7 linked regions of the Callithrix jacchus genome follow. The protein of the gene in region 2 purifies or fractionates together with the protein of the main gene of each other region. This does not show direct contact. Links are inferred from orthologs where the notes say so. Each region holds a gene or a part of one and is shown on either strand. Other genes may lie near its edges. The genes, in order: AMPD2, CTBP1, EHMT2, WDCP, DYRK1A, MECOM and THAP11.

The links.
Region 1: the proteins of CTBP1 (region 2) and AMPD2 purify together in Homo sapiens (affinity purification with mass spectrometry; 3 studies listed by BioGRID and IntAct, with this or other methods). This does not show direct contact. The link is inferred for Callithrix jacchus from reciprocal best matches to the Homo sapiens genes CTBP1 and AMPD2.
Region 3: the proteins of CTBP1 (region 2) and EHMT2 purify together in Homo sapiens (affinity purification with mass spectrometry; 4 studies listed by BioGRID and IntAct, counting the BioPlex papers as one, with this or other methods). This does not show direct contact. The link is inferred for Callithrix jacchus from reciprocal best matches to the Homo sapiens genes CTBP1 and EHMT2.
Region 4: the proteins of CTBP1 (region 2) and WDCP purify together in Homo sapiens (affinity purification with mass spectrometry; 3 studies listed by BioGRID and IntAct, counting the BioPlex papers as one, with this or other methods). This does not show direct contact. The link is inferred for Callithrix jacchus from reciprocal best matches to the Homo sapiens genes CTBP1 and WDCP.
Region 5: the proteins of CTBP1 (region 2) and DYRK1A purify together in Homo sapiens (affinity purification with mass spectrometry; 4 studies listed by BioGRID and IntAct, with this or other methods). This does not show direct contact. The link is inferred for Callithrix jacchus from reciprocal best matches to the Homo sapiens genes CTBP1 and DYRK1A.
Region 6: the proteins of CTBP1 (region 2) and MECOM purify together in Homo sapiens (affinity purification with mass spectrometry; 6 studies listed by BioGRID and IntAct, counting the BioPlex papers as one, with this or other methods). This does not show direct contact. The link is inferred for Callithrix jacchus from reciprocal best matches to the Homo sapiens genes CTBP1 and MECOM.
Region 7: the proteins of CTBP1 (region 2) and THAP11 purify together in Homo sapiens (co-immunoprecipitation; 4 studies listed by BioGRID and IntAct, with this or other methods). This does not show direct contact. The link is inferred for Callithrix jacchus from reciprocal best matches to the Homo sapiens genes CTBP1 and THAP11.

What each region holds. Positions count from the first base shown.
Region 1 is NC_133508.1:147,522,367-147,525,866, forward strand, and holds part of AMPD2 (AMP deaminase 2), read left to right. Parts: intron 1-40; coding exon 41-130; intron 131-2,334; coding exon 2,335-2,464; intron 2,465-2,643; coding exon 2,644-2,838; intron 2,839-2,924; coding exon 2,925-3,056; intron 3,057-3,181; coding exon 3,182-3,345; intron 3,346-3,500. UniProt on the Homo sapiens protein: AMP deaminase plays a critical role in energy metabolism. Catalyzes the deamination of AMP to IMP and plays an important role in the purine nucleotide cycle.
Region 2 is NC_133504.1:191,923,913-191,927,897, forward strand, and holds the start of CTBP1 (C-terminal-binding protein 1), read left to right. Parts: upstream 1-1,185; 5' UTR 1,186-1,377; intron 1,378-1,381; exon of another isoform or gene 1,382-1,419; intron 1,420-1,631; exon of another isoform or gene 1,632-1,833; intron 1,834-2,373; exon of another isoform or gene 2,374-2,548; coding exon of another isoform or gene 2,549-2,588; intron 2,589-2,823; exon of another isoform or gene 2,824-3,985. UniProt on the Homo sapiens protein: Corepressor targeting diverse transcription regulators such as GLIS2 or BCL6. Has dehydrogenase activity. Involved in controlling the equilibrium between tubular and stacked structures in the Golgi complex.
Region 3 is NC_133505.1:39,388,664-39,392,163, reverse strand, and holds the end of EHMT2 (histone-lysine N-methyltransferase EHMT2), read left to right. Parts: intron 1-4; coding exon 5-120; intron 121-234; coding exon 235-321; intron 322-1,832; coding exon 1,833-1,911; intron 1,912-2,082; coding exon 2,083-2,258; intron 2,259-2,662; coding exon 2,663-2,843; 3' UTR 2,844-3,159; downstream 3,160-3,500. UniProt on the Homo sapiens protein: Histone methyltransferase that specifically mono- and dimethylates 'Lys-9' of histone H3 (H3K9me1 and H3K9me2, respectively) in euchromatin.
Region 4 is NC_133515.1:91,202,616-91,206,845, reverse strand, and holds the start of WDCP (WD repeat and coiled-coil-containing protein), read right to left. Parts: upstream 2,801-4,230; 5' UTR 2,705-2,800; intron 600-2,704; exon of another isoform or gene 511-599; intron 1-510. Other genes in the region: peptidyl-prolyl cis-trans isomerase FKBP1B, read left to right, coding at 2,999-3,257.
Region 5 is NC_133522.1:43,472,155-43,475,654, reverse strand, and holds part of DYRK1A (dual specificity tyrosine-phosphorylation-regulated kinase 1A), read right to left. Parts: intron 3,408-3,500; coding exon 3,283-3,407; intron 1-3,282. UniProt on the Homo sapiens protein: Dual-specificity kinase which possesses both serine/threonine and tyrosine kinase activities. Exhibits a substrate preference for proline at position P+1 and arginine at position P-3.
Region 6 is NC_133518.1:17,955,799-17,959,210, reverse strand, and holds the end of MECOM (histone-lysine N-methyltransferase MECOM), read right to left. Parts: intron 2,036-3,412; coding exon 1,901-2,035; 3' UTR 501-1,900; downstream 1-500.
Region 7 is NC_133521.1:25,372,943-25,376,465, reverse strand, and holds THAP11 (THAP domain-containing protein 11), read right to left. Parts: upstream 2,361-3,523; 5' UTR 2,126-2,360; coding exon 1,199-2,125; 3' UTR 501-1,198; downstream 1-500. UniProt on the Homo sapiens protein: Transcription factor, which has both transcriptional activation and repression activities. Also modulates chromatin accessibility.

The sequences.
Region 1 (3,500 bases), on a different chromosome or scaffold from region 2:
GCTGGGCTTGCTCTCTTCACCAAGCTCCCTTCCATGCCAGTTGCTTAGAGGTGGAGCTGCCATACCCCGACCTGCAGGAATTTGTGGCTGACGTCAATGTGCTCATGGCCCTGATTATCAATGGCCCCATGTGAGTCCCCTGACACCCCAGACACTTAGCTCGCCTCCCAGCCCAGATTCTCCAGCCCCAACTCTGCCCCAGACTCCTGCCACCTGGTGTCCTGCCCTTCCTAGTTGCTGAGCCCTAGACTTCTACTGCCCTCTTGGCAGCCTCCCTCCTTACCGTCCCACCTGCTCCCTCCTCACCCTCCCACCTGCTCCCTCCTCACTCTCCCACCTGCTCCCTCCTCACCCTCCCACCTGCTCCCTCCTCACCCTCCCACCTGCTCCCTCCTCACTCTCCTACCTGCTCCCTCCTTACCCTCCCACCTCCTCTCTCCTTACCCTCCCACCTGCTCCCTCCTCACCCTCCCACCTCCTCCCTCCTCACCCTCCCACCTCCTCCTTACCCTCCCACCTGCTCCCTCCTCACCTTCCCACCTGCTCCCTCCTCACCCTCCCACCTGCTCTCTCCTCACCCTCCCACCTGCTCCCTCCTCACCCTCCCACCTGCTCCCTCCTCACTCTCCCACCTGCTCCCTCCTTACCCTCCCACCTCCTCTCTCCTCACCCTCCCACCTGCTCCCTCCTCACCATCCCACCTGCTCCCTCCTCACCCTCCCACCTGCTCCCTCCTCACCCTCCCACCTGCTCCCTCCTCACCCTCCCACCTCCTCCTTACCCTCCCACCTGCTCCCTCCTCACCTTCCCACCTGCTCTCTCCTCACCCTCCCACCTGCTCCCTCCTCACCCTCCCACCTGCTCCCTCCTCACTCTCCCACCTGCTCCCTCCTTACCCTCCCACCTCCTCCCTCCTCACCCTCCCACCTGCTCCCTCCTCACCCTCCCACCTGCTCCCTCCTCACCTTCCCACCTGCTCCCTCCTCACCCTCCCACCTGCTCTCTCCTCACCCTCCCACCTGCTCCCTCCTCACCCTCCCACCTGCTCCCTCCTCACTCTCCCACCTGCTCCCTCCTCACCCTCCCACCTCCTCTCTCCTCACCCTCCCACCTGCTCCCTCCTCACCCTCCCACCTGCTCCCTCCTCACCTTCCCACCTGCTCCCTCCTCACCCTCCCACCTGCTCTCTCCTCACCCTCCCACCTGCTCCCTCCTCACCCTCCCACCTGCTCCCTCCTCACCTTCCCACCTGCTCCCTCCTCACCCTCCCACCTGCTCCCTCCTCACCCTCCCACCTGCTCCCTCCTCACCCTCCCACCTGCTCCCTCCTCACTCTCCCACCTGCTCCCTCCTCACCCTCCCACCTGCTCCCTCCTCACCCTCCCACCTGCTCCCTCCTCACCATCCCACCTGCTCCCTCCTCACCCTCCCACCTGCTCCCTCCTCACCCTCCCACCTGCTCCCTCCTCACCCTCCCACCTCCTCCCTCCTCACCCTCCCACCTCCTCCTCACCCTCCCACCTGCTCCCTCCTCACCCTCCCACCTGCTCCCTCCTCACCCTCCCACCTCCTCCTCACCCTCCCACCTGCTCCCTCCTCACCCTCCCACCTGCTCCCTCCTCACCCTCCCACCTGCTCCCTCCTCACCCTCCCACCTGCTCCCTCCTCACCTTCCCACCTGCTCCCTCCTCACCCTCCCACCTGCTCTCTCCTCACCCTCCCACCTGCTCCCTCCTCACCCTCCCACCTGCTCCCTCCTCACTCTCCCACCTGCTCCCTCCTCACCCTCCCACCTCCTCTCTCCTCACCCTCCCACCTGCTCCCTCCTCACCATCCCACCTGCTCCCTCCTCACCCTCCCACCTGCTCTCTCCTCACCCTCCCACCTGCTCCCTCCTCACCCTCCCACCTCCTCCCTCCTCACCCTCCCACCTCCTCCTTACCCTCCCACCTGCTCCCTCCTCACCCTCCCACCTGCTCCCTCCTCACCCTCCCACCTGCTCTCTCCTCACCCTCCCACCTGCTCCCTCCTCACCCTCCCACCTGCTCCCTCCTCACCCTCCCACCTGCTCCCTCCTCACCCTCCCACCTCCTCTCTCCTCACCCTCCCACCTGCTCCCTCCTCACCCTCCCACCTGCTCCCTCCTCACCCTCCCACCTGCTCCCTCCTCACTCTCCCACCTGCTCCCTCCTTACCCTCCCACCTGCTCCCTCCTTACCCTCCCACCTGCTCCCTTCTAACCCTCCCACTTGCTCCCGAAGAGCTGCTACCAGGGCCCTCCCCAGGTGCCTCCCTTCAGGGCCTAAGTCCCTGCCTTGTTCTCCTCATGCCCAGAAAGTCATTCTGCTACCGCCGGCTGCAGTACCTGAGCTCCAAGTTCCAGATGCACGTGCTACTCAATGAGATGAAGGAGCTGGCCGCCCAGAAGAAAGTGCCACACCGAGATTTCTACAACATCCGCAAGGTGGGCCCTCAGCCCATGGTCCTCTCCATGTCCTGGTCCCACACCCTTGCCCAGCCTCCTCTTCAAGGGCCAGGCCCCCCACGCAGCATCCAGGACAGAGGGTGCCTTCCCATCGCACTACCCTGGGCCCCAGACCTTCCCAGCCTCCGGTGTACCAGCAGCGCCCTGTTCCACCCCAGGTGGACACCCACATCCACGCCTCATCCTGCATGAACCAGAAGCACCTGCTGCGCTTCATCAAGAGGGCGATGAAGCGGCACCTGGAGGAGATCGTGCACGTGGAGCAGGGCCGTGAGCAGACGCTGCGGGAGGTCTTCGAGAGCATGAACCTCACGGCCTACGACCTGAGTGTGGACACGCTGGATGTGCATGCGGTCTGTGCCAGTGTTGTGGGCTGTGGGACTGAGTCAGCCAGGGGACCAGGAGTCAGGGGTGACCTGAGCCTGCCCGTGTCCCCCAGGACAGGAACACTTTCCATCGCTTTGACAAGTTTAATGCCAAATACAACCCTATTGGGGAGTCCGTTCTCCGAGAGATCTTCATCAAGACGGACAACAGGGTATCTGGGAAGTACTTTGCTCACATCATCAAGGTGAGGAGGCAGCCTTCCCTGCCAAGCCTCGAGCCTGAGGATCTGGGGGCTTTTGTGGGGTGAGATTCTAGGAGGGTGGGCAGATGGCCCCTGAAGAGCTCTGACTCAGCTCACCTCATGTCTAGGAGGTGATGTCGGACCTGGAGGAGAGCAAATACCAGAATGCAGAGCTTCGGCTCTCCATTTATGGGCGCTCGAGGGATGAGTGGGACAAGCTGGCGCGCTGGGCCGTCATGCACCGCGTGCACTCCCCCAACGTGCGCTGGCTGGTGCAGGTGCCCCGCCTCTTGTGAGTGTCCCTTGGAATGGGAAGAGAACTGTGGGGCCATGTTCAACGGTCAGGGCCTGCCTCCTGCCCTCCTGGGATGATTAAGCCTCCCTTGTCCCTGCCAACTCCTCTGAGTATGAGGAAGGGCTTCTTAGTCCCACCCATGGTCTGTCCAG
Region 2 (3,985 bases):
ACTGAGGCTGGCTGGGGGAATCCAGGCCTCTGGCATCCTCACCAAGGTAACTCTTGAGCAGCTCCCAGACAGCCCATTGTGTAGGGCAAACACCAGGAGCCCCTCCTGTGTGCAGGTACATGGCAGGCTCAACCATGGCCAGAGGGCAGGCACATGCTCGGCCAAACCCTAGAGGGTGGTGGGCATCTGCTCATCACAGGGGAGGACGGGAGGTGGGAGAGGCAGGTGGGCCTGTGGGGGTTGGGACGAGCTGTGCACATGGCTTGGCACACCCAAAGCTGAGGTTTCTCCTTGGGCAACACAGTCACATGTGAGTGTAGGAATCTCGGCTGGAGTTGCCCAACGTGGGGAGCAGACAGCACTGTAGCCAAAACCGCAGCTGGAGAATGCAGTGCTTGGAACAAGCCAAGCCATTGGGACGGGGCTGGGGCCAAGTAGACATGATAATGCACTAACGAGCAGTGCGGGGGGTAGGCTGTGGAGCGTGATCCTGGGGGAGACGCTGGATCCCTGGCTGGCCTGCATTGCTCTCCAGAGCTTTTAGCTGCCTGTGGAATTCCAGGTGCTCTGCTCCAGCTACTTTCAACGTATAAGCAGGAAGTGGATGCTGGAGAGGAACTGCTCTTCTGGACTGAGCTTGCTGCTCATGGCAGCCCCACCTACAGGGCCCAAAGCCTTATTGATGTTCCTTGCACCTTCCACCACGTGGCTGCCTCTTGAGCTCTGCAAGTGCACCACAGAGCCAGGAATTTCTCCCCAAAAGCCTCTCCATTTTACCCACGACCCCCCAGTAAATCACAACCTGAGAATAGAGTGTCTGCGACCCCCCTGTCCCCAGCTCCCCTGGGGGCAGGGGTTGGCACATCCCTGTGCCCGGCCACTTGCTGCCTCCTCCTGGGCTGCTGGTCCATGCCCAGTGGACAGGAAAGCCCAGCGAGGTCCCTGCCTGTGCACCCCGCCAACCACACTGTCCCCTCCCGGCAGCCTCACCTAGGCCCCTCCAGTGGCGGCCCCTTGTCCCCTGCACCCATGCCTGGCCTTGGAAGTTGCTGCTCACTTTTCTGGAATATTCTTTTCTTAGATCTCTGCAGGACTGTCCCTACCCCTACAAGGGCTCCACACATGTTCCCTCCTTCATGACTCCCACTGGGCTTCCCCGGCAGAGCCCCATGTCTCCAAAGCTCTGGTGACACCTGCCAGGCTTCCTCCAGGCCACAGCTCCGCAGCGCGCGTCTGAAAGAGAATAGGAAGTGGCCCGCAGGGCAGGCTGGCTGAGGGCCCCAGCACTGTCAGCGGGGTCTGAGGTCCTCCCAGCCCTGAAGGGGAAACTGGAGCTTCTCAGGCCAGCCCAGGACGCGTCCTCAGGAACCACAGCAGGTGCCTGGCAGCGGAGAGGAGTCTGCGTCTTTCAGGATCCATACTGTTGTATCCGAAACTATGCAAACACTTCGGGGTGCTCAGAGTAGCCCCGCAGAGGCCCTCCCCACGGGGCGGAGGGAAGCGTCCACTCGCTATCCCTGGGCCCTTGGAGAGTCCGCAGAGGCAGCCCCTGGGGGAGCAGGCCGGGGTCTGGACGTCTCCTGCAGCGGGCGGGGCTTTGCTATTAATCCTTAACCCAAATTATGGAAAGAGGAGCTGAGCTGCCAGGACGCCGGTCGGCTACAAACCCCACTCTTGTTAAAGACAGAGGGGGTCGGGGAGGGGGTTCTCCGGCCCTGAGCTTCCCGGGCCTGGCAGAACGCGGCCCCTCCGGGAGTCCGGGTCCCCGGGCGGGGGAGGCACCGGGGCGAGCGCGCTTCTCCCGGGGCCCCGAGTGCGGCCGGCTCTCGGACGGTAAATTCAGGGCCCGGGTGGAGGCGACGGGGTCCCGCGGCCTCGGTGACCCTGGACAGCAGCGGGAAGAGCGGGACCGCAAGGACAGGCTCCCCGGGGGCGCACGGACCCCGCCGCGCACCGGCTGCAGGGCCAGGCCGCGGGCCGAGGCGCGAACGCGGGAGGCGGCGGCCGGAGGGGCGGGAAGGGAGCGGGGCGGCCCCGGCGCGGAGGAGCGCCATTTACGTTCCGGCCCGCGCCGGGCGCTGACGTGGGCGGCCCGGCCCGGCCGGCGGCGCAGTCCCGCAGGGGCCTCGGGGTGGACGGCCCGACCCTGCCCGTCTTCCTCGGGGACGGGCGGTTTAGAACGTACAGAACTCCGGGCCCCGGGGCTCCGCCGGGCTGCAACCCCGACCAGCTTCCCGCCGGGCTCCCGCCCCGCCCCGCGGCCGCGCCCCGGCCGGGCGGGCCCTGAGCCGCCCGCGTGAGTCCGCCCGCCGCCCGCGCCGGGAACCAGGAGACCAACCGCGAGGCCCCGCCCGCGCGCGCCGCCGTGTCCCCGCCCGCGCGGTCGTCCGAGCGCGGCTCAGCGGCGCGGCGGAGACTCGGCACGGCGGCGGCCAGGCGCAGGCGGGCGGGCGGAGCAGCGGACGGCGCCGAGGCCGCCCCAAGCGCCGGGCTCGCGGCGGCAGAGCGCGCCGGAGTGGTCGGGGCCCGCGGCCGCCCGCGCCTCTCGATGGGCAGCTCGCACTTGCTCAACAAGGGCCTGCCGCTGGGTAAGGCCGCGCGCGCGCGCGTTTCCGGCCGCGGGCGGGGGCGGGGCGGGGCGGAGGCCGCGCGGGCGGGGGACGCGGGGGCGGGTTGAGCGCGCGCCCGCAGGCCGCCGGCTTTGTGTGCGAGTGCGCGTGCGCGCTAGCGCCCGCGCGTAGCCGCGACCGGGGGCGGGACCGCGGGAGGGGTGGTGCGCATGCGCGGACGGCTGCGTACCGGTGCGCGTGCGCGAGCGCCGCTGTCCGCCCGCCCCGCCCGCGGCCCGCGCAGGTGACACAAAGGGGCCTGCGGGCCTCTTGGCTGCCCCGCGGGATCCCCCGGCTCCACTGGCCCTAGGCCCTGGGGACCCGGGACGGCCCCCTGAGTCCCGATCCCCGGCCGCGACCCAGTCCCCAGTCATGACCCCGCGGCTGGGCCTGCGGGGCTGAGGTGTGGGGTGCGCCCTGCGCAGCTCGGGACGTCCTGGGGCGCGCTCCCTGGGCCACTCGCGGGAGCGCGCCCCGCCCGCCCGGAGACCGCCGGCTACGGTGGCGGCGCGCTGTGGGGAAAGAGGACGGGCCCCGGGCGCCTGGTCTGACCGCGGAGGAGGCCGCCACCCTGAGACCGGGCCCAAAGCGCAGCCCCCGGCTGTGACGCGGGAGGGCCCGGGGGTCTCCGTCCCCGCGAAGTCCCGGACCCGCCCGGCGCCCCCACCTGCTCGTGCCTGGTGCCGCCCTGGTCCTCGGGCGCCTTCCCCGCGGGCTGCGGAAGCAGGGAGCTTGGGCGGGAGCCGGGCCCGCAGGCATCGCCATCTTGCAGTGCCCGCGTTCTGGGCCGGCCCGGGCCGCTCCGCGGAGCGTCTGCCCCCACCTCCGACTCGGCTGCAAAGGCAGAGCCCGTGCGCCTGAGCCGCGGGCCGGGGCCGGAGCCCTGCTGCTCTAGTCTGTGTGATTGCCCGGACAGAATCCCTTCCAGTGGGGAAGAGGGAGGGCGGGCGCGCTGTTCCCGGTGCTCCGAGCTGGGGAGGGGAACCCTGAGAGCCGGGGTTACAGGGCCCGGCGTCTGGCCGAGGCGGCGGGTGCGCAGGGTGCCCCGTCCAGCTCCGTGGAGCACGGGCCCCCCGAGTCCTCTCCACCGTTTGCGAAGGAGCTCGGCAAGGGGCGCACGTTCCTCAGGGAAAGAAAGGCGCTGGCGGCTGGGCCCGCACCTCGGCTGTCCCCGCTGAGCTAGCGCGGTGACCCCGGCCTTCCCGGCCTTTCCCGGCCAGGGGGTGGCCTCTGCGCGTCCGCGTCTCCAGCTGCGACTTGGGACGGTGTTGGGGCAGCACCGTGGGGAACTATTTGCCGTTGCAGCTGAGGATGACAGCTGCGGTTTGTGGGACCCCTTTCTCTGTCCTGGAACCTCGTTGGGCGTGGCTCTGCCC
Region 3 (3,500 bases), on a different chromosome or scaffold from region 2:
CCAGGATGGGCGATTGCTCCAGGAATTTAACAAGATTGAGCCCCCACTGATTTTCGAGTGTAACCAGGCATGTTCCTGCTGGAGAAACTGCAAGAACCGTGTTGTACAGAGTGGCATCAAGTGAGGCCCTGCTCCACAGCCCTCTCTCTCTCTCCCACCTCACCCTTTCCTCCCTGTCCCTCGGGCTTTTGGATGGAGGGCTCCATTCAACAATGCCCTCTCTCCTACCCCCAGGGTTCGGCTACAGCTCTACCGAACAGCCAAGATGGGCTGGGGGGTCCGCGCCCTGCAGACCATCCCACAGGGAACCTTCATCTGCGAGTAAGTCATCAGGGGCACCTTGACATCTGGTGGGAAGGGGACACACGCCCACTGCTGACTGCCACGCCTCCCTCTCAGCCCCCTGCCCTGATGGGTCACATGTCTCCATCTGGCCACTCTCCAGCCAGCCTTCTCTGACCCACATCCCCGAAGCTGAGGATGGCACCTGCCTCCACTCTGCCCAGACCAAAGAGCCTGAGTTCCCTCCCCTCCACCCTCTCCTCTCCCTTCCTAGCTAGGGAAAGTGCCAGTTTGGGAGACAAACAGACTTGGGTTTGAGCCCCTCTCTGCTTCTGGATGTCCTTGGCCAAGTTATTTAACCTCTTTCAGCCTTATTTTTCTTGTCTGTGGAGTGGAGGTGATAACAGCTACCTTTCTGTCCACCACCTCAGGGGTCTGTCCCTCTCCATCAGTTCTTTCTCTGCCCAGCATCTGTAATCTCCCCCTTTCTCCTAGCTCCTATCTCACAACCCTCAGTCTCACCTTGGTCTCCTTTGGCCTTTCTTTTTTTATTTTTTATTTTTTTTTTGAGGTGGAGTTTTGCTTTCAATGCCCAAGCTGAAGGGAGTGAATGGTGCGATCTCAGCTCACTGCAACCTCCACTTCCCAGGTTAAAGCATTCTCCTGCCTCAGCCTCCTGAGTAGCTAGGATTACAGGCACGTGCCACACACCCAGCTAATTTTTTGTGTTTTTAGTAGAAACGGGGTTTCACCATGTTAGCCAGACTGGTCTCGAACTCCTGACCTCAGATGATCAACCTCCCTCGATCTCCCAAAGTGCTGGGATTATAGGCATGAGCCACTGCACCTGGCCATCCTTTGGCCTTTAAAATATATAGTCTTCTAGCCCTACTTGCCTGTTCAAGAGACCATCCAGTTTCTCTCCATCATGTCATCTCAACTTCTTGGGCAAGCAGCTCCTTCCTGCTGGGCCTCAGTTTCCCCACCATCCACTCCAAAATTGGCCTTTGCCCTTCCCACTCTGTGGAAGCTGTCTCTTGACAGTCACTCCCCACCCCACGTCGTCTGCATGTGTCTCGATCTCCTGGCATCTGCTCACCCCTCCTTAGGCTGCTGACTCCTCTCCTCCCTCTGGTGTCCAGATGTAGGTGCTCTTGCCCTCCTCATGCCCTGAGCTCCTTGCCACTCCTCCATCTCCGGCTCTTCCTGCAGCCCTGAGCCCCTCCTGTCCTACATTGCCTGTTTTTGCTGGGTGGCTCCTAGTACACAAACCTCTGTGTCCAAACCCAAACTTCCCCACCCAGGCCAACTGCCCCTGCACACTAATTCCCTTAACCACAGAGCTTTGCATCTGTCGCTGTGCTGACTGGAGACTTCCTCTGTCGAGCCTGGAATGCTGCCATTTCCACCACTGCTGCTCCAGGCCTTCCCTCACCTACACCTGCCAGCCCTGCCTATTCCAGATTCCACGGGCTTATAAGGAGATAGGGGCCTGGAGCCACCTCCTAGTAGTCCACACAGCTTCAGAACCATGGATTCCTGTCCCACAGGTATGTCGGGGAGCTGATCTCTGATGCTGAGGCTGACGTGAGAGAGGATGATTCTTACCTCTTCGACTTAGACAACAAGGTGAGCAGGAAACCCTCCTTACCCTGCTGTTCCCCAGGGCTGGCTTTCAGGAGCCCCTGAGAAGTCAGCAAGTGGAAACCTGGGGAGGAGGGATTGGGGAGTCAGTGGGTGGGGAGGGTGATCAGGCAAGCAGGGTGTGGGGAGATGTGAAGAATGCCATCCTCCCCCCAGGATGGAGAGGTGTACTGCATTGATGCCCGTTACTATGGCAACATCAGCCGCTTCATTAACCACCTGTGTGACCCCAACATCATTCCCGTCCGGGTCTTCATGCTGCACCAAGACCTGCGATTTCCACGAATTGCCTTCTTCAGTTCCCGAGACATCCGGACTGGGGAGGAGCTAGGGTGAGACTCTAGGGGTCTTTAGGGACTCTGCCAGGGCTTCGAGATGCAGCAAACCTGGGACCTGAAGCCTGGTGTGTACCTGGTGTCCAGACAGGGATTAGTGCAGAGCTTCTCAGATTTCAGTGTACATAAGTATCTCCTGGAGGACTTGGTGAAACAGTCCTGAGCCTCCCAGAGAGAATCTGATTCGGTAGGTTTGGGATGGGGCCCAGGATTCTGCGTTTCTAGCAAGTCCCCAGACAGTGCTGGTGCTGCAAGTCCATAGAACATACAGGGGGCTCAGAGTCCATCTGGAGAACATGGGGTGGGTGCAGGGTCCCTCTTAGGGAGTGCGATCCACGGGGTCTTCGGGGTGGGCTCTCAGCTGGGTCCAGGTCCCACAAGCTCCTGTTTTCCTCTGACAGGTTTGACTATGGCGACCGCTTCTGGGACATCAAAAGCAAATACTTCACCTGCCAGTGTGGCTCTGAGAAGTGCAAGCACTCAGCCGAAGCCATTGCCCTAGAGCAGAGCCGTCTGGCCCGCCTGGACCCGCACCCTGAGCTGCTGCCCGAGCTCAGCTCCCTGCCCCCTGTCAACACCTGAGAATGGACCACACCCTCCCTCCCCAGCATAGGCCACAGCTCAGTCGCCTCCTCTGTCACCAGCTGCTCGCAGCCCATGCCTGGGGTGCTGCCATCTTCTCTCCCCGCCACCCCTTCACACATTCCTGAACAGAGACCCCAGCCAGGCCCTGGAGGTCTGACAGCCCCTCCCTCCCAGAGCTGGTTCCTCCCTGGGAGGGCAGCTTCAGGGCCACCCCCCTGGTCCCCATCCTCAGTTGAAGTTTGATGAATTGAAATCGGGCCTCTATGCCAACTGGTTCCTTTTGTCTTCAATAAATGTTGGGTTTGGTAATAAACTGCGATTTTTGTGTTGGGGCGGGGAGGAAGCATACTCAGCCAGAGGGAGGGTGGGTTCAAGAGCCAGAAAGGGATGGAAAGCAGGCTGGATAGGTGTGGCTGATGTGACAGCCAGTGCAGGGTGCCAGTGGGGTGGGAGGTGTGTGGGTGGCCACCATGAAAATCCAGTGGAAGGATTATAAAGGGCCAATTTCCAGGCACAGTGGCTCACACCTGTAATCCCAGCACTTTGGGAGGCCGAGGCAGGTGAATTCACCTGAGGTCAGGAGTTCAAGACTAGCCTGGCCAACAAGGTGAAACCCCGTCTCTACTCAAAATACAAAAAATTCGCTGGGTGTGG
Region 4 (4,230 bases), on a different chromosome or scaffold from region 2:
AATATTTTTCAGTCATGGTGTGCAACTTTGTATCACGATTTTCACCTAGCATTATATAATTAGCATTTCCCCATGTTATTTAAACGTTTTATAAATTAGTTTTAGAGCCCACTTCAACACTCAGTGAAGTGACAAGGTACTGAACAGCTCCTGGCTGTATCCAACTTTACCCCGCTATAAATAACGCTGTGACCGAGGTCTTAATGCTTAAAGCCCATTTCCTGACTTTGGATGACTTCCTTGGAACACATTCCCAGGAGTATTATTCACGAGTCACAGTCATATTCGCTCGTTTACACCCACACCCAGCGCGGTCCTCATTCCGCGACCCCTCACACGCGGCCCGCCCCATTCTCCTCATGCTCTGCGCACTCCTGAATGTCCTCCCTCCCTCCAGACCCCCATCCCCCATCCCACCTACCCCCCCACCCCCGCTCCGGTCCACTTCCCTCCTGACCCCCTACAGCCTCCCCACATCCGCCAGGCCCGGCAGCAGTGGAGACAAAATACCTTAGGTCTCACTGCCTCACAAAAACACCAGCTTCCCTGAGGCAGCCCAATATCACGCCGCCGCAGATCAGAAGCTTTGGGCAGTCACCGGAAGCACCGGCTCTCAGACCTCTGATAGGTGAGCGGTGGCCGTGCACGCTCCGCGATGGCCCCGTCTATTGGCTTTTGAATGTGCACGTTAGGAGAGGGTTTGTCCCACTGGCCAATAAGCTCTGGCTCTGCCTCACGGATCGCTGGGAGTAGTAGTTCCCATGAAACCACCGACCGCAAGCCCGCCACATTTTTTCTTCCCCAAAGCACTTGAGCTCCTCCCCCGCTTCTCTTTGGTTCTCTTGTCTAAGGCATTCAGGAGCCCTAGGATCAACACGGGTTCTTAACCTTCTTTAGATTCTGATAAAATCTCTCCAGGAAAATGTTCTTATCTGTACCCAAAATATTGTGCATTCAACTGAAGCTGCTTCATGGGACTGTCCCGGCTACAAATCCTTGTTCTACACCGACCCTAAGCGTGCCTGCTCTGGTGCATCCCTTAGGCTTAGTGCGTTCCTGAGGCTTCTGTAGACCAGCTACACTCTTGGAAGACTCTGGGCCATATCTCGGAGCAGCCCATGAGAAATTCCAGGTCATGACCTTCACAGTACAGTTAACCATCGTCTTTCTTGAACAACACAGCCCGTCCTCCTTCAGGGATGCAGACAACCTCATCTGGGACCTAAGCATACAGGAGAGTGGGAGTCGGGAAATGGAGGAAGAACACCCTTGGGGCTCATACTGGGCCCGTCTGCCAGGTTTTTTTTCCCCATGCCTATCTTCCAGTGCCACTTAGCAGAATCATACCTTCACATCAGTTTTTGTTTATGTTTTTCTTTTCTTTTTTTAAAAAATAAAAACGGTATGCCTATAATCCCAGCGCTTTGGGAGGCTGAGGCGGGTGGATAACCTGAGTTTAGGAGTTCAAGACCAGCCTGGCCAACATGGTGAAACCCTGCCTCTACTAAAAATATGACAGCCAGATGTGGTGGCTCATGCCTGTAATCCCAGCTACTTGGGAGGCTGAGACACGAGACGAGAGGCAGAGGTTGCAGTGAGCTGAGACTGTGCCACTGCACTCTAGCCTGGTGACAGAGTGAGATTCTGTCTCCAAAAAAAAAAAAAAATAGAGACGGGATCTCTCTTTGTTGCTCACACTGGTCTCGAACTCCTGGGCTCAAGCAATCCTCCTGTCTTGATCTCCCAGTGTTGAGATTACAGGTGTGAGCCATTGTTTCAAAAATTGATTTGCCCGGCCTCACATCAATTTTTGGAACAATGCAGATAATAATGAGGGGGGGAAAGTTTTAAAAGTCCTAATTACCCTTCAAACAAATGTTACCTCCTCCAGAAAATATTTTTCTACATTCTTGAATGTGTATTTAGGTAAAGGAGGAACTCAAAGTAGAATTCATTTACATATTCATTCATTCACTCCACTGTCCTAATCACTCCACGCGGTAAATGTGTATGCCCGCCCCTCTCGGACTTAGTACCTGGAAGACAGCCATCCTGTCTTAATTCAATTGGTATCCCCAGGGTGCATTTCTTTGCCTTGAAAATTGAGTACCCAATAAATGTGCGTGGAGCAGAACTACGCGAGATGGAGAACAGGGGTTTAGGGGTGTAGGGGAAGAGTCAGCAAGGACTGATGTCCTCCCTCCCTCCCCCAGCTCTGCTCCTGCAGATCCAGGACGCCTAGCCAGAGTAGGAACCTCTCTGGTGCTTCCGCAACGCTCTGAACTGCAGGGTACTGAGCGCATCTACTTAGAGTGATGGTTTCATTAGATAGTAACACAGCGAGACCCTGATTCTACAAAAAATAAAAAATTAGCTGGGCGTGGTTGCTCGCCCCTCTAGTCCCAGCTACTAGGGAGGTTGACGCAGAAGGATCGCTTGAGAGTTAGAGTTCGAGGTTGCTGTGAGCTAATGATCACGCCACTGCACTCCAGTCTGGGCGACAGAATAAGATCCTCTCTCTAAATAAAAATAAAAATAAAGTGATGGTTTAATTGTCGGCCTTTGCCTCTCCTCTCCCTCACCCCCCACAAGTCTGTAGGACCGGGTTAACTCCCCAGAGCTTAGCACAGATTCGATGCTAAATAAATGTGTTTTGGACGGATGGGCTAATGAACGGATAGATGGAGGATGAGGGGGTGCTCACCACGCTTCCCGGTCAGTGGATTATTGTCGTCAGCGGGGCTAGGCTCGCAAACAACCGGGCGGGTCCCTTCCCCCGGGCCCCGCCCCGGCCGACCCCACCTTTCCGCGCGGCTCCGCCCCGCCGCCCCCTTCCCAGTGGCCCCTCCCCGCGCAGGTCCCGACTCCAGCCGCACCTCCTCCGGCTCTGCAGTGGCGGCGGGGAGGCGAGCGGGAGCGACTACGGGGCCGGGGCCGGAGCCGAGCCGGGGTCGGGCAGCAGCAGGGACCCCCCGGAGGCGGGGCCTGTGGGACCGCTATGGGCGTGGAGATCGAGACCATCTCCCCTGGAGACGGTACCGGGCTCCCTCCGGAGCCAGGGGAGGGGAGTGGTCCCGGGGCGGAGCCCGGCGGGCGGGGGTCTGATTCGGAGGTGGCGCGGAGGGTGCCGAAGGGTTGGGGGGACTGGGTGGGGAAGGCTGGCGGAGACCCCGGACGGGATTCTTGGGGGTCTAAGAGACCGTCCTCCACCATCCTCTTCCGCGCTCACCTTTGGGAATGTAGGCGGCAGCCCGGAGGTGAGGTCTGCGGCCCGGAGGTGGGGGTCTGCGTCCCGGAGGCGGGGGTCTATAGCCCGGAGGCGGGGGTCTGCGGCCCACCACCGCCCGGGGCTGATGCTGTCGCGGCTGCAACCGCTCGGTTTTCCGCTGCTGCAGATACCCAAGGCTGGGTTTCTGCTTCTCTTTCCTTGCCCTGCTCAGCGAGCTCTGGAAACCAGGGAAGACCTGCTCTCCGGTCTCCGCTGCTCGGGACTTCCTCCTAGCGCGTCCCCCGCCTGGCCTCCCGTCGGGCCCCCGAGGGCCCGCTGTGAGCGGCTGTGGGGACAGACCCAAGCTGGAAGGGGGAAGCGCTCCCTTGCTCGCTTCCGCACCTCGCTTTATCCTCCCGCCGCATTCAGACTCCCTGGCCACCCTGTCCACTCCCATGGCCTCCACATTGAAGCTTCTAAGCCCAGCCCTCCGACCTGCCAGACCTCTCCCTGGACGTCCCAGGGTGTGCCCTCGTCAGCAAGTTCAAAACAGAACTCACGCTTCCAACCTTTTCCTCTGAGTGATCCTTCTTACTCCTGTTCTGTGTCTCATTTTCCCAAGCCCTTGTATTATTGGGCCTGGGTATGCAAGGAATAGTCATTTCTTTATTTCTTGAAATTTAATTCATACCAAAGCCCACATTGTCTGCAGGGTTTGATGGGCAAACTTCTTATCAGATATTAATATGAACAGCTCCCCTCCTGAGGAAATTGGGGGACTTCTTGGCTCCAGGCCATCTTCCTTGTCCAATCCCAACCACTACCTCGGATCTCCCCTGGGGTACAGGCTTCTTTGCCCATGCAGGAAACCTTGGTGCTGGGTCTCAGAAAGCATCTCCCTGAGGCCTTGTCATCTCCAGCAGCCCCTGAAGTGGTCTCCCCGTCTTCAATCTCTCCTCCCTGCCTTCAATCTCGTTCCCAATCTCATATTCACTCCCTTTCTACACCATAGTCTGAGGACT
Region 5 (3,500 bases), on a different chromosome or scaffold from region 2:
GATGGGACACAATTGTAGGCCTAATTACTGAGGAGGCTGGGGGGTGGTTGGCACGGACTGCTTGAGCCCAGATGCCAAAAGCTGCAGTGAGCCGTGATCACACCACTGCTCTCCAGCCTGGGTGACAGAGCAAGACTCTAGCTCTAAAAATAAACAAACAACAGGTGAATGGTGAAGAGACTTATGAAATATCTAAACGGAATACTATGCAAAAAAAAAAAAAAAAAGAATGAAAAAGCTCACTATGTACTGATACAGACAGTGCTCCAAAATGTATGGTAAGACTAGAAAAACCAAGATGTTTGGAAGACAGGATGCCTGGTGTGGTTCCATTAGTGAACAAAGGGTGGATGAAGAATATGTGTTTCTATCTGCTTATATATATGCATAAAATATCTCAAAAAGTATACAAAAAACTAATAACTAATAACAGTGGTTTAGAAACTGAGGGGCTAGAAGGCATGGAAGGAAAACCTTTCACTGAATTCTTTTTTATTTGCTTATTTTTAAAACCGTGTGACTATATCAACCACTCAAAAGTTAATAAAAAAGGATTTGAAGCAATATCCTGACCTCTGTGAAATCCAGGTGGGAGGAACATGGTATCTTATCCTACCCTTTGCACTCCTGTATGTGTTTGTGATATAAAACAGATTTGGAAGAAAGGACAGACGAATAAAGATTCAGGGGAAGCCCCTGGGAATAGTGATACTTAAGACTCGAAGGATAAACAGTAGTTACCAAAGCAAAAGGAGGAGGAAAAGTGTTCCAGGCTGAGAGCACAGGAAATGTGAGAGAAGTGACAGAGAATGTGGCATATTACAAAAACCGAACAATAAACCAGTGTGACTAGAGTCAAGGAGAAAAAATGGCCTGGGTGGGAACCAGATCCCGGAAAGCACCGACGCCACGGTAAGAGGTCGACATCTCGTTTTAGCTATAAGGGCAAGTCAAAACTGGCTTAAAGCAGGGAAAATAGGCTGGGCACAGTGGCTCATCCCTGTAATCCCAGCACTTCAGGAGGCCAAGGTGGGTGAATCACCTGAGGTCAAGAGTTCAAGACCAGCCTGACCAACATGGCAAAACCCTGTCTCTACTAAAAATATAAAAATTAGCCAGGTTTAGTGATGCATGTCTGTAAACACAGCTACTCAGGAGGCTGAGGCAGGAGAATCACTTAAACCCAGGAGGTGGAGGTTGCAGTGAGCCAAGATCGTGCCATTGCACTCCAACCTGCGTGACGGGGCAAGACTCCGTCTCAAAACAAAAGGAGGGAAAATAGCAACAACAGACTGTTTTAGCGAAAGCTCACTTGCCTACAGGGAAAAGAATGGTGCTGGCAGGTGAATGGAATCAGACACTGGAAGACTGGTTAGAGGACTCTTTCCAGTAAGACAAGTCATAACAATGAGTTAAAGTGAAAGGCAGAGAATAAAAATGTATTAAGATGCGGTGAATCCAGATCATCTACTGTCTGATTCAGCGTGGGGAAAGAGGGAGAGAGGAGTGCCCCCAGATTTATGACTTGAACAAATGTGTAAATTTAGGGCCATTTTTACAAAGAATGGTAGAAGTCGAAGAGTTGAGAAGGAAGTGAAAATGACATCCGCTTATGTGCAATTTTACCACTGCACATTGTCGAGACTTTCAAGGTGACATTTATAGTAAACAATTAGAAAGGCCCTAGGGTTCAGAAGTGAAGTCTAATCAGAAGTTGAGACTCAGGAAAAACTGGCATAAAGATGGTGACTGCAGGCCCTGGCAGGAGTGGCTGAAATCATCAAGGAAACGTTAAGGGGAGCAGTACAAGGACACAGGTCACGCCTCGAGGAACAACAAGGTTTCATAGGTGGGTAGAAGAAAAAAACCCAAAGAGACAGGAGAACATCCTGCCAAGGAAACCAGCAGTGAGTATTTCAAAGAGGGGAAAAGTCAACATTGCCAAATGAAGCTGTAGAATGCAGAAAGACAGCATTAGGGTGTCCAGTGGACTCATGAATAAAGGTCACCACTGACCCTGACAGGAGAGCTGGAAGGCAGGACGTAAGTAGAATAAGCAAGGAGGTCTTCAGAGTAGAGGCAAAGACACCACAGGTAGAAGAAGTGTAGGGAAAGAAAGACAGGGGACACACAAAGGTACGACTTAAGATGGAAACGGCCTGAGAATGAGGAAATGCTGATTAACACAAAGAGCCAAAAGAGGAGAGGCTGAGGACACAGGAACCGAGGAAGACCAAAGGGCAAAGGCCCCATGAAAGCAGGAGAGAGGGGGTCAGGGCACTGAGTGGGCTTGGCCTTAGGCAAAAACAAACACATTGCTTCTAACAAAAAAGGGGTAGAGGAGAAGTGGACAGCGCCATGTAGGCAGGACCATGTATTCAATGCTACAAAGTAAAAGGAGTTCATGCCTGAAGACTCTTCCTTACAAAGCAAAGAGTGGCTGACGACAGAGAAGGGGGGCGGGGGGCAAAGTTTCTAAGAGTAGAAAAGTCTGAAACAATTATTAGAATAAGGGACGATGGGACAACTTGGGAAACACGTAGGACTGCCCAGCAGAGGCTGGTGAACATGAACAGTACGACAAACAGCTGCATGTGGGACTTTCTCCAGCACCATTCAGCTGCCCGAGTCGCAAGAATGGAATCAACAGCAGTTTTACTCATCCACAAAACACTACACTGGCCTCTCACCATCAAGCAAAACTCAGCATGAACAAACTTACAACTTTATTAGGTTATAGAAATATTTGTGCCATCACCATCTGCTTCACTCAGATTTTCAGAGTACTTAATTGGATCCTCTTCTTCAACAGGTTTAAAAACAAAAAACAACAACAAGAAACAGGGGCTAACATCAAACCAGAAATTGATTCAGAATCCAGGGCTACACATGCTAAAAAATCATGGGAGGAAGCAGAGTCGAGTCATGAAGATCATGACCCACGAAAATGTACTCCACCCACAACATCTCAGTTTCCACTGTAAAATGGGAATCAAAAAAGCATGAGGCTCAAAATGCTGCTTTGGTAAGTGAGATAAACAAAGGAAAAACTGTTCGAAACAACTGCTATGCCCCCAGTGAGGGTTAGCCACTTCTAGACAAAGAGGAAGAGAACTGCACCAATGTGCTTCTCTGTGATAAATACTGACATTTCCTTAGACATGAGACTGTCATGAACCTTTAGGGTAAATGAAACAGTCATTCTAAAGGCACCTGGCATCCAGTGCTGCTCCACCTGAGCACGGCAGGTGACACAAGCAAATGAACCACGTGCGAGCTCACCTGGGGACTGTGTGTCTCGCAGTCCATGGCCTGCACAGCAGCTGTGAAGTGCCCGCCGCTGTGCCGATGCTGGTGCGTCGGATCTGACCGGGCTCTCCCACTGTTGCTCGTCCCCGATGAGCCACCTGAAACATCACAACACAAAATAATACAAGTGTGAGTTTAAAATTCATTTTGTTCAAATGTATACTCCAAAGCTATATCATTATATATTGAAA
Region 6 (3,412 bases), on a different chromosome or scaffold from region 2:
CCATGAGCAAAGAAAGAAAAAACAAATCATGTTTAGACTCTGGTTATAACAATGAACAAAGGATATTTTGCATATGGACAAAAACTTAAAAGGAGCATAGAAAAGTCAAAGGTTTCCCCCCCTTTGTGAATCATTTGACACATAATGAAATACAAAAATAAGAATCTGAGTTCCTTTTGGCATACAATCTGCAGAAAACCTGTAAGTCCCTCTTTGTCCTGATTTAAGTGGATACTGTGAACATGAAGCGATACCAGGACTGGGCAGCGGCACTTAAGCCCCAACTGCAAAACATGCGGAAAGTTCTGAACGATGAGAAGACTCACTATTGCCCAAGAACTATCACTTAGGCTATCTCAAAACAAAACAAATATGCTCTGGATTTCACATATCTGTTAGGACATCAAGATCCCAGCCATCATATATTTAAATCATTGGATCCCAAAGGGAAAGGAAAATTGCATGAAGGGAAAATACCACACAGTGGGGAAAAATACTCCTTTTTGTAAGTCTTTATTTTTTAGTTGCTCCTCCCATAGTAATGCACTGAAAGGCATAACAGTTTATATTGTACAAAGCATTTGAAGAAAGTACCTCAACTTGCCGATTATTTCAAAATGAGATTACAAACAAAAAGAAAAAAAATCTGGTTCCTCAATAAAGGGGAAAAATAACTGAATACAGTCTGTTATTTCCTTCTCTCTTTTAACATAAAGTTGGGAACACTTCATTTTACAAATAGGATTAACATGAACATAACATCGCACAAGCTTGCAGACAACCAGCATAAAATATGGAGTACAGCTTTTAATCAGAAGAATCATGCTTCCATGAAAGAAATTATAATCGTTTATACAATTGAATCGATTTCAGTATTACAAAAACTAAGTTGCATCTATTCGTATTTAGTTCATTAAGAAGGAAAACAAAACAACAACAAAGAAAGGAATGTTAAGAAAAGCCAAACACCATTTGGCACTCTCATACACAGGTCGGGTCACCTTGGTCCTTGAAATTCAGAAAGGGGTGTGCCTCAGACGTCATAAAGTAGTGGCTGACTGGAACAGTGCTATTTTAATCAACAAACAATAGTTTGCCAACAAATAAATACATGATACACGCAACACACACAAAAAAATAAACATTAAAAAACAGCGACATGATTGTCTAAAATTAAGATGTTATTACAAGGATTTGCCAAACAATTTATTAGTGGTACAGCGGTACTGGTGATGAACAGGTTACTTCACTGACTTAACCTCTTTGAGTGTGAACATCCATAGTTTACAATATACACATACCCTTTTTCCCTAGTTTTCAACAATGTACTTAGGAAGGCAAAAGGGGGAACAAGAACTCCCTGTTATCAGTTTCTATAACAATTGACTGTGCATTTCATCCAACTACTTCTGTCTTCAAAGGGTTAAATTACATAAAACTTTAACGAAGAAAAAAATTAAATCTGTAATTAAAAGCAACTGTTCCCAATCATGTCAGGTGATCTTGTACAAAAAAAAAAGAATTCAGTTTCTATGGAGTGTTCATTCGTATCAACGCTGCCATCTCAACTGCCCCTCTCACCCACCCATACCCTAAGGTGGGGTAAACTGGAAGATGCCTTCAGCCCAGCAAGTTTTTTATTTTCATTGAATCACTGTAAGTCGCACTGATTGATCTTCCAGAAGTCAGCAGCTGCCTTTGCTGTGCAAAACAAAATATCGAGAATAAATAGTTTCTTTTTTCTTTCTTTTTTAAATCATTCAGTTTAAGGTCACTAGACTTTAGATGAGTGACCCTGCAGGTTTATAAGGCATTCTGCTCAGCAGTCTTGTAAATAGTCCTATATGAAAGAGCCATGCTACTGTTGGACTTGGTCCCACTGTGGTCAACCTTGGTAACGTCATACGTGGCTTATGGACTGGATAGCACTGGATTCCGCCGCAGCTCTGGCCATACTGTGCCACACGTTGGAAGAACTGTGGGATGTAGAATGGAGGGACTCCTTGTCAGACAATGACAGCATCATAGCATATGCCTGGGGTAAAAAGGAAAGAGACTCAGTAAATGGCATTTGAAAATCATCCCTTTTGGTTCAAAGAATATTGGTGGCAAATGGAAAGGGATGGGACCCTGAGTAGGGGTATCCTTCGTGGGTGTGTTTGGCAAAGGAGGCATAGCATATTTTTTTGTAGAAATGACATGGGATTACTGTTGGCCTTTAGTGCCTAGAGGCCCCAAAAGTGACATACCCTCCCAAACAAAAAATTAACTATCCTATCTAAAATGCAAATAGTGTGCCTCCATTGAGAAAAATGAGTAATTCTCCTGTCCAACCATAAATACAGCCATCCATCTACTACATATGTTCAATTCATCAAAAATATTATTGTGTGCTTATGACTGAACTGCAAATATTAATAGGATATAGACCTACCTTGACAGAGCTGTGGCCTCGTAGATGATACAGCCTGACTCCTACACTTTATAACCAAAAGCACTGAAGTCGCTTGAGTGACTTGCCCAAAGTCACTCAATTAGATAGTGGGCGAAGCATAACTAAAGTGTATTTCTGCCCAACTTTTAATCCAGTGTCTTTTCTCCAATTTCCCTTAATGCTTGACATGCTCAGTGCTGATACCCAAAGTTAAGGTGGATCAAATCAGCTCTACCAAAAAAATAAAACAAAACACAAGACCCAACAAATGTTTTAATCAACTTATTTTCTAGTGTCTGCTGAGCAGAAGGTGCATAGAGGTGCTCTGTGAGGAACTGCTCTTTCTTCCCTATTATCATGTCAAATTTTAAATAACTGTTCAGAGAATCCCCCATTTACTGCCAAGCAAAATATTCAAATGAAATGTTTGGTCTTGACTTGTGCGTGAACTTTTCACTGTTGATTTGCTATTGTTGGTCTCATCCATTGCTAAACTTGCTTGTCAAAATGCTGCTGAAGTGGAATCATTAAAGTCCTGCCAAAGACATTCCACTGTCTGTAAACAAAGACAAAATGCCTCTGTTGTTAGGCAGAATTTCATCTCTGGGAGTCATGCTGAGACATGTGGCCAGTCTGTGGTTTCTTCGTAATCACTGCATTCAGTTAGAAAATCTGCCCTTGCAGGCTGATTTTGATTTGCTGGGTCATCGCTCTAAATGTACACATTTGACTTTTGTGTATGGAGTTTGCCTTTTGGACCTCTACAATATCCCACGATCCATTTAACAAATATTTCTTAAGCATCTACTCTGTGCCAGGCTCTGTGTTAGATCCTGAGGAATTAAAAATAAATAATATAGAGTTCTTATCTTTGGCAGAGTTTAAAGTATGGGCTAAGTGAGCATTGAACCTAAATTATCGATTCTGATTATGTACCTACTTTTAGAGAACAAGATAAAGAATATTCTGAAAGAGTTA
Region 7 (3,523 bases), on a different chromosome or scaffold from region 2:
TGTACCAAGGCCAAGGTATCTATACAAGATTCCTTGTGCCTGAAGCAGCCCTGGCTAGCTCCAGCTGTGGTCTCACTGGTTCAGAGAGTAACTGCATGCACATGCGTACCAAAGGCTGTGCTAAACCTAAGGGATGTTACCGTGAGCAAAATTCAATCCCAGCTGAGAATTCAAAACCCTCAGAGGTGAACAGTCACAATACAGCTTAGTTACCAGTTGCTCCATCTTGTTGAAAGGACACAGGGAGAATAACCCATGGACAAACTGGGCCCATTTGGTGCAGTTTCCAAACACTTTAGGGTGAGCTGAGCCAGGAACTCTTGAGGACTTTATAAGGCCAGGATCCATGTGCTTAGGGCCCATTTTTGGAGAAATCTGGTCACTGAAGCATCTCTACTTTCAGGATCAGCCTGGTCTTTCAAATAGGCTGAGGCCTATTTCTCCATGTTTCAAGGACATTTAGCTATGTTTTTGTAAAAAATAAAATGGCGAGACCCAAATAAAAACCTTACTTTTTGTTTAATTTGTTTTGCCAAACAAACACAGTGAAAACTTTAGTCTGACTAATTGTACAGAAAATAGAATTTGTAACCAGTAGCAAACAAAACGGGATAAACCTAAGTCCCTGGCAAGCTGGACCTCCATCAGCAGGTCACCCAGATCCCCTTGTAAATGGCCTGCTGGGGAAAGAAGTCCTAGGAGGCAGAGGCACAGATTTACCAGTCCCCATCAGAATCACAGGCTCTACCTGGGAAGGAAAAGCATGAAGAGGAGGAGAAGAGATGTTACTTGACTCTCTTATCACTACACACATTAGAGTTGTCTGACTGCTGACCAACCTTAAAGTATGGTTTTCCCAAACCCATAGTCCCTGGACATCCCACCTGCATCCCTAAAGGGTAAGTTTCAAGTTCAATGGTTTTGAAGCCTCTGCTTAACCAGAATCTGCAACAATAACTGGGGAGGAAGGGTAAACAAAGTCATAATTGCTGGTGTCACCAGGGCAGAGTCTAAGGCCCCAGCTTCCACTTCAGGAGCAAACAACTGAGGGTGCCAGGTCACCAGCAAGGGAGTCCAGTTGCCTGAAGCCTCAGTACTGTCGACCAGTGCCCCAGGAGTATAGAGGAGTTCAACAGTGGTCTGCAGTCCTCTGGGCTGGATGGGGTCTGGGAGTCCAGCAGGCCGCCAGGGCACCAGTTCACATTCCGTGCTTCTTCCGGATGACAGCCATGGCAAGCAGCCGATCCTTCTCGCGGAGTTCTTCGCGCAGCTTGGCCTCGGTGAGACGCAGGTGGCGAATGTTGCCTTTCATCTCTTTCATCTTCACTTCCATCAGCGCCAGGATGTCCCGCTGTTCATTCAGCTTGCGCAGGAGCTCCTCCTCCGTGGTGCCTGACGACAAGGAGTACGAATGGTCGGAGCCAGTATCAGGGAAGCCCTCTTCCCCTACCACCACCAACTGGGGGCCTATAGGGCATTCGGCAGCCTCCAGCCCTGCAGTAGCAGCCTGTAGCTCCGAGGCGGCGGCCGCAGCGGCTGCGCCCTCTGCGGCTGCAAACTCCACTTGCACTGTAAGGTCGATGGGCTTCACGTCTTCTCCAGTGGGAGTAATGGGCGCCGGCGGCACGGATCCGGGAGCCTGACTGCTGTCTACAGCGGCCTGGAGGGTGAGAAGCACGGCCGCGGAAGCAGACACCAGGTTCGGCTGCAGCTGGGCAGTCTGGGCAGTGGAGGAAGAGGGTGACGACGACTGCTGCTGTTGCTGCTGCTGCTGCTGCTGCTGCTGCTGTTGCTGCTGCTGTTGCTGCTGCTGCTGCCTGCGGCGGGCGGCCGCGGCCCCAGCGGGTCTGCGCGCTACTTTGCGCTCATTAACGCCGCGCAGCGGAAAGATGGTGGGGACGCGTACCGTGTAGGTCTTGCGGCCGCCCTGGAAGTGAACGCTGCAGAGACGGTGGCCTGTGGTGGGCTGGAAGGTGGAGAAGCACCCACTGACGCCGGCACGCGACACGTTCTTGAGCCAGAGACGCCGCAACTCAGCGTCCTTTGGAAACGTGTAGAAGTGCAGCGCCTTGTCCCGGTGCGAGTTGTTGTAGCAGCCTGGCACGCAGCACGTAAAGCCAGGCATGGCTGCGCCGCGAGGCCCGGCCCGGCCCACCGGCCTCCTGCGCCCGTCGACGGCCAAGTGGCTCCGCCGCCGCCCGCCCCTCGACGGGCGGCGCCGCGCGAGGCTTTGGGTAGTATTCCACCACTGCCGCTAGACGCAGCCGGCCCGCCCGGCGCCCCGTGCCCAGAATATGCTTCCTGTCGGCCCGCGCCGCGCCGCCCGCCTGGCTGCTCGCCTGCGCTCGGGAGTCGGCCCCGGGGACGCCGCGAAGGACCGCCTGAGAAAGAGACTACGCCCCCCACAATGCACCGCGCCAGGAGCCGCTCACTTCCGGGGCGGGTGTATGTGGATTCCGGCCGCCTTTCAGGACACTGCGATAGCCTCCGAAGAGCAGATTCTTTCCTCAACTCGGCTTGTCCCCGGAGGCGGGCGAGAGAAGCGTATTAGGTTGGAACGCTGTCGCCTGGACTGCTCCTCACAAGGACCCGAATCCTGAAAGGGGCGTGGAGCTAGGCGGTACGCGCCTCGCCAGTGCGCAATCGCCATGGGTATGCCCACGGAGACTACCAATCCCGTGATGCCTCGCGCTGAACTCCGTAACTGCGGTCCGGAGCGCCGCCTAAGGGAAAGGTCGAGTTACTGCGGACCAGAATTCGGGCGACGTTGTGCTGTTTGCCAGAAGCAGCACCCCCAGCCCCGAGCGCCTTTTGAGTCGACGGCATTACTGCAGCAGAGGGAGACGAAACCTGGGCCTCGGCGCCCCGAAAGGTCTCAGGAGCTCTTTTCTTTGCGTTGGGGACTCTCTCCTGATTCAGCTGCTGCCTGCGTTTCCTCACTTACTCACCTAAACAAAGTCACCAGTAGACGCCTACTGTGTGACTGACACAGTGCAGAGAGTTTCCGGTGGCCAGACTGACTGGGCTCCTCTCTTGGAGCCCAACTACATAGAAGGATGAGGGTCTGTCTTTTACAGATGTGAAGGCACGCAAATGGATCACAGAAAGTAAACGCTCCAAAGGAATGAACAGGAGAGCAGAGAAATACAGGGGCAGGGAGGGCCAGGAATAAAAAACGACCGAAAGCTTGGGTAGAGAGAAATAGCCAGTTCTTGTCCCGGGAACCAGTCTAAGGCCACAAGGCAGAAAAGAGCTAGGCTCCGCCCTTAAAGAGCCTGGAAGGGGGTGGCCCTGGTAGTCGAAGCGTAGGAAAATACCAAACTGGGACAAGCTAAGGATTTAGGGTTTTATTCTGCAGGCCACTGAGAGCCGTTAAAGGATTTTACGCGACAGGATTTGCATTGTAACGAGACACCTCCACCCTACCTCACCTTCTTTGGAGGAAAATGTTGTAAAGAACAAGAAAGGTTGTGGAAAGCCGGGAGGACCTAGGCAGTTCTCCAGGGGAATTACCTGCAAACTA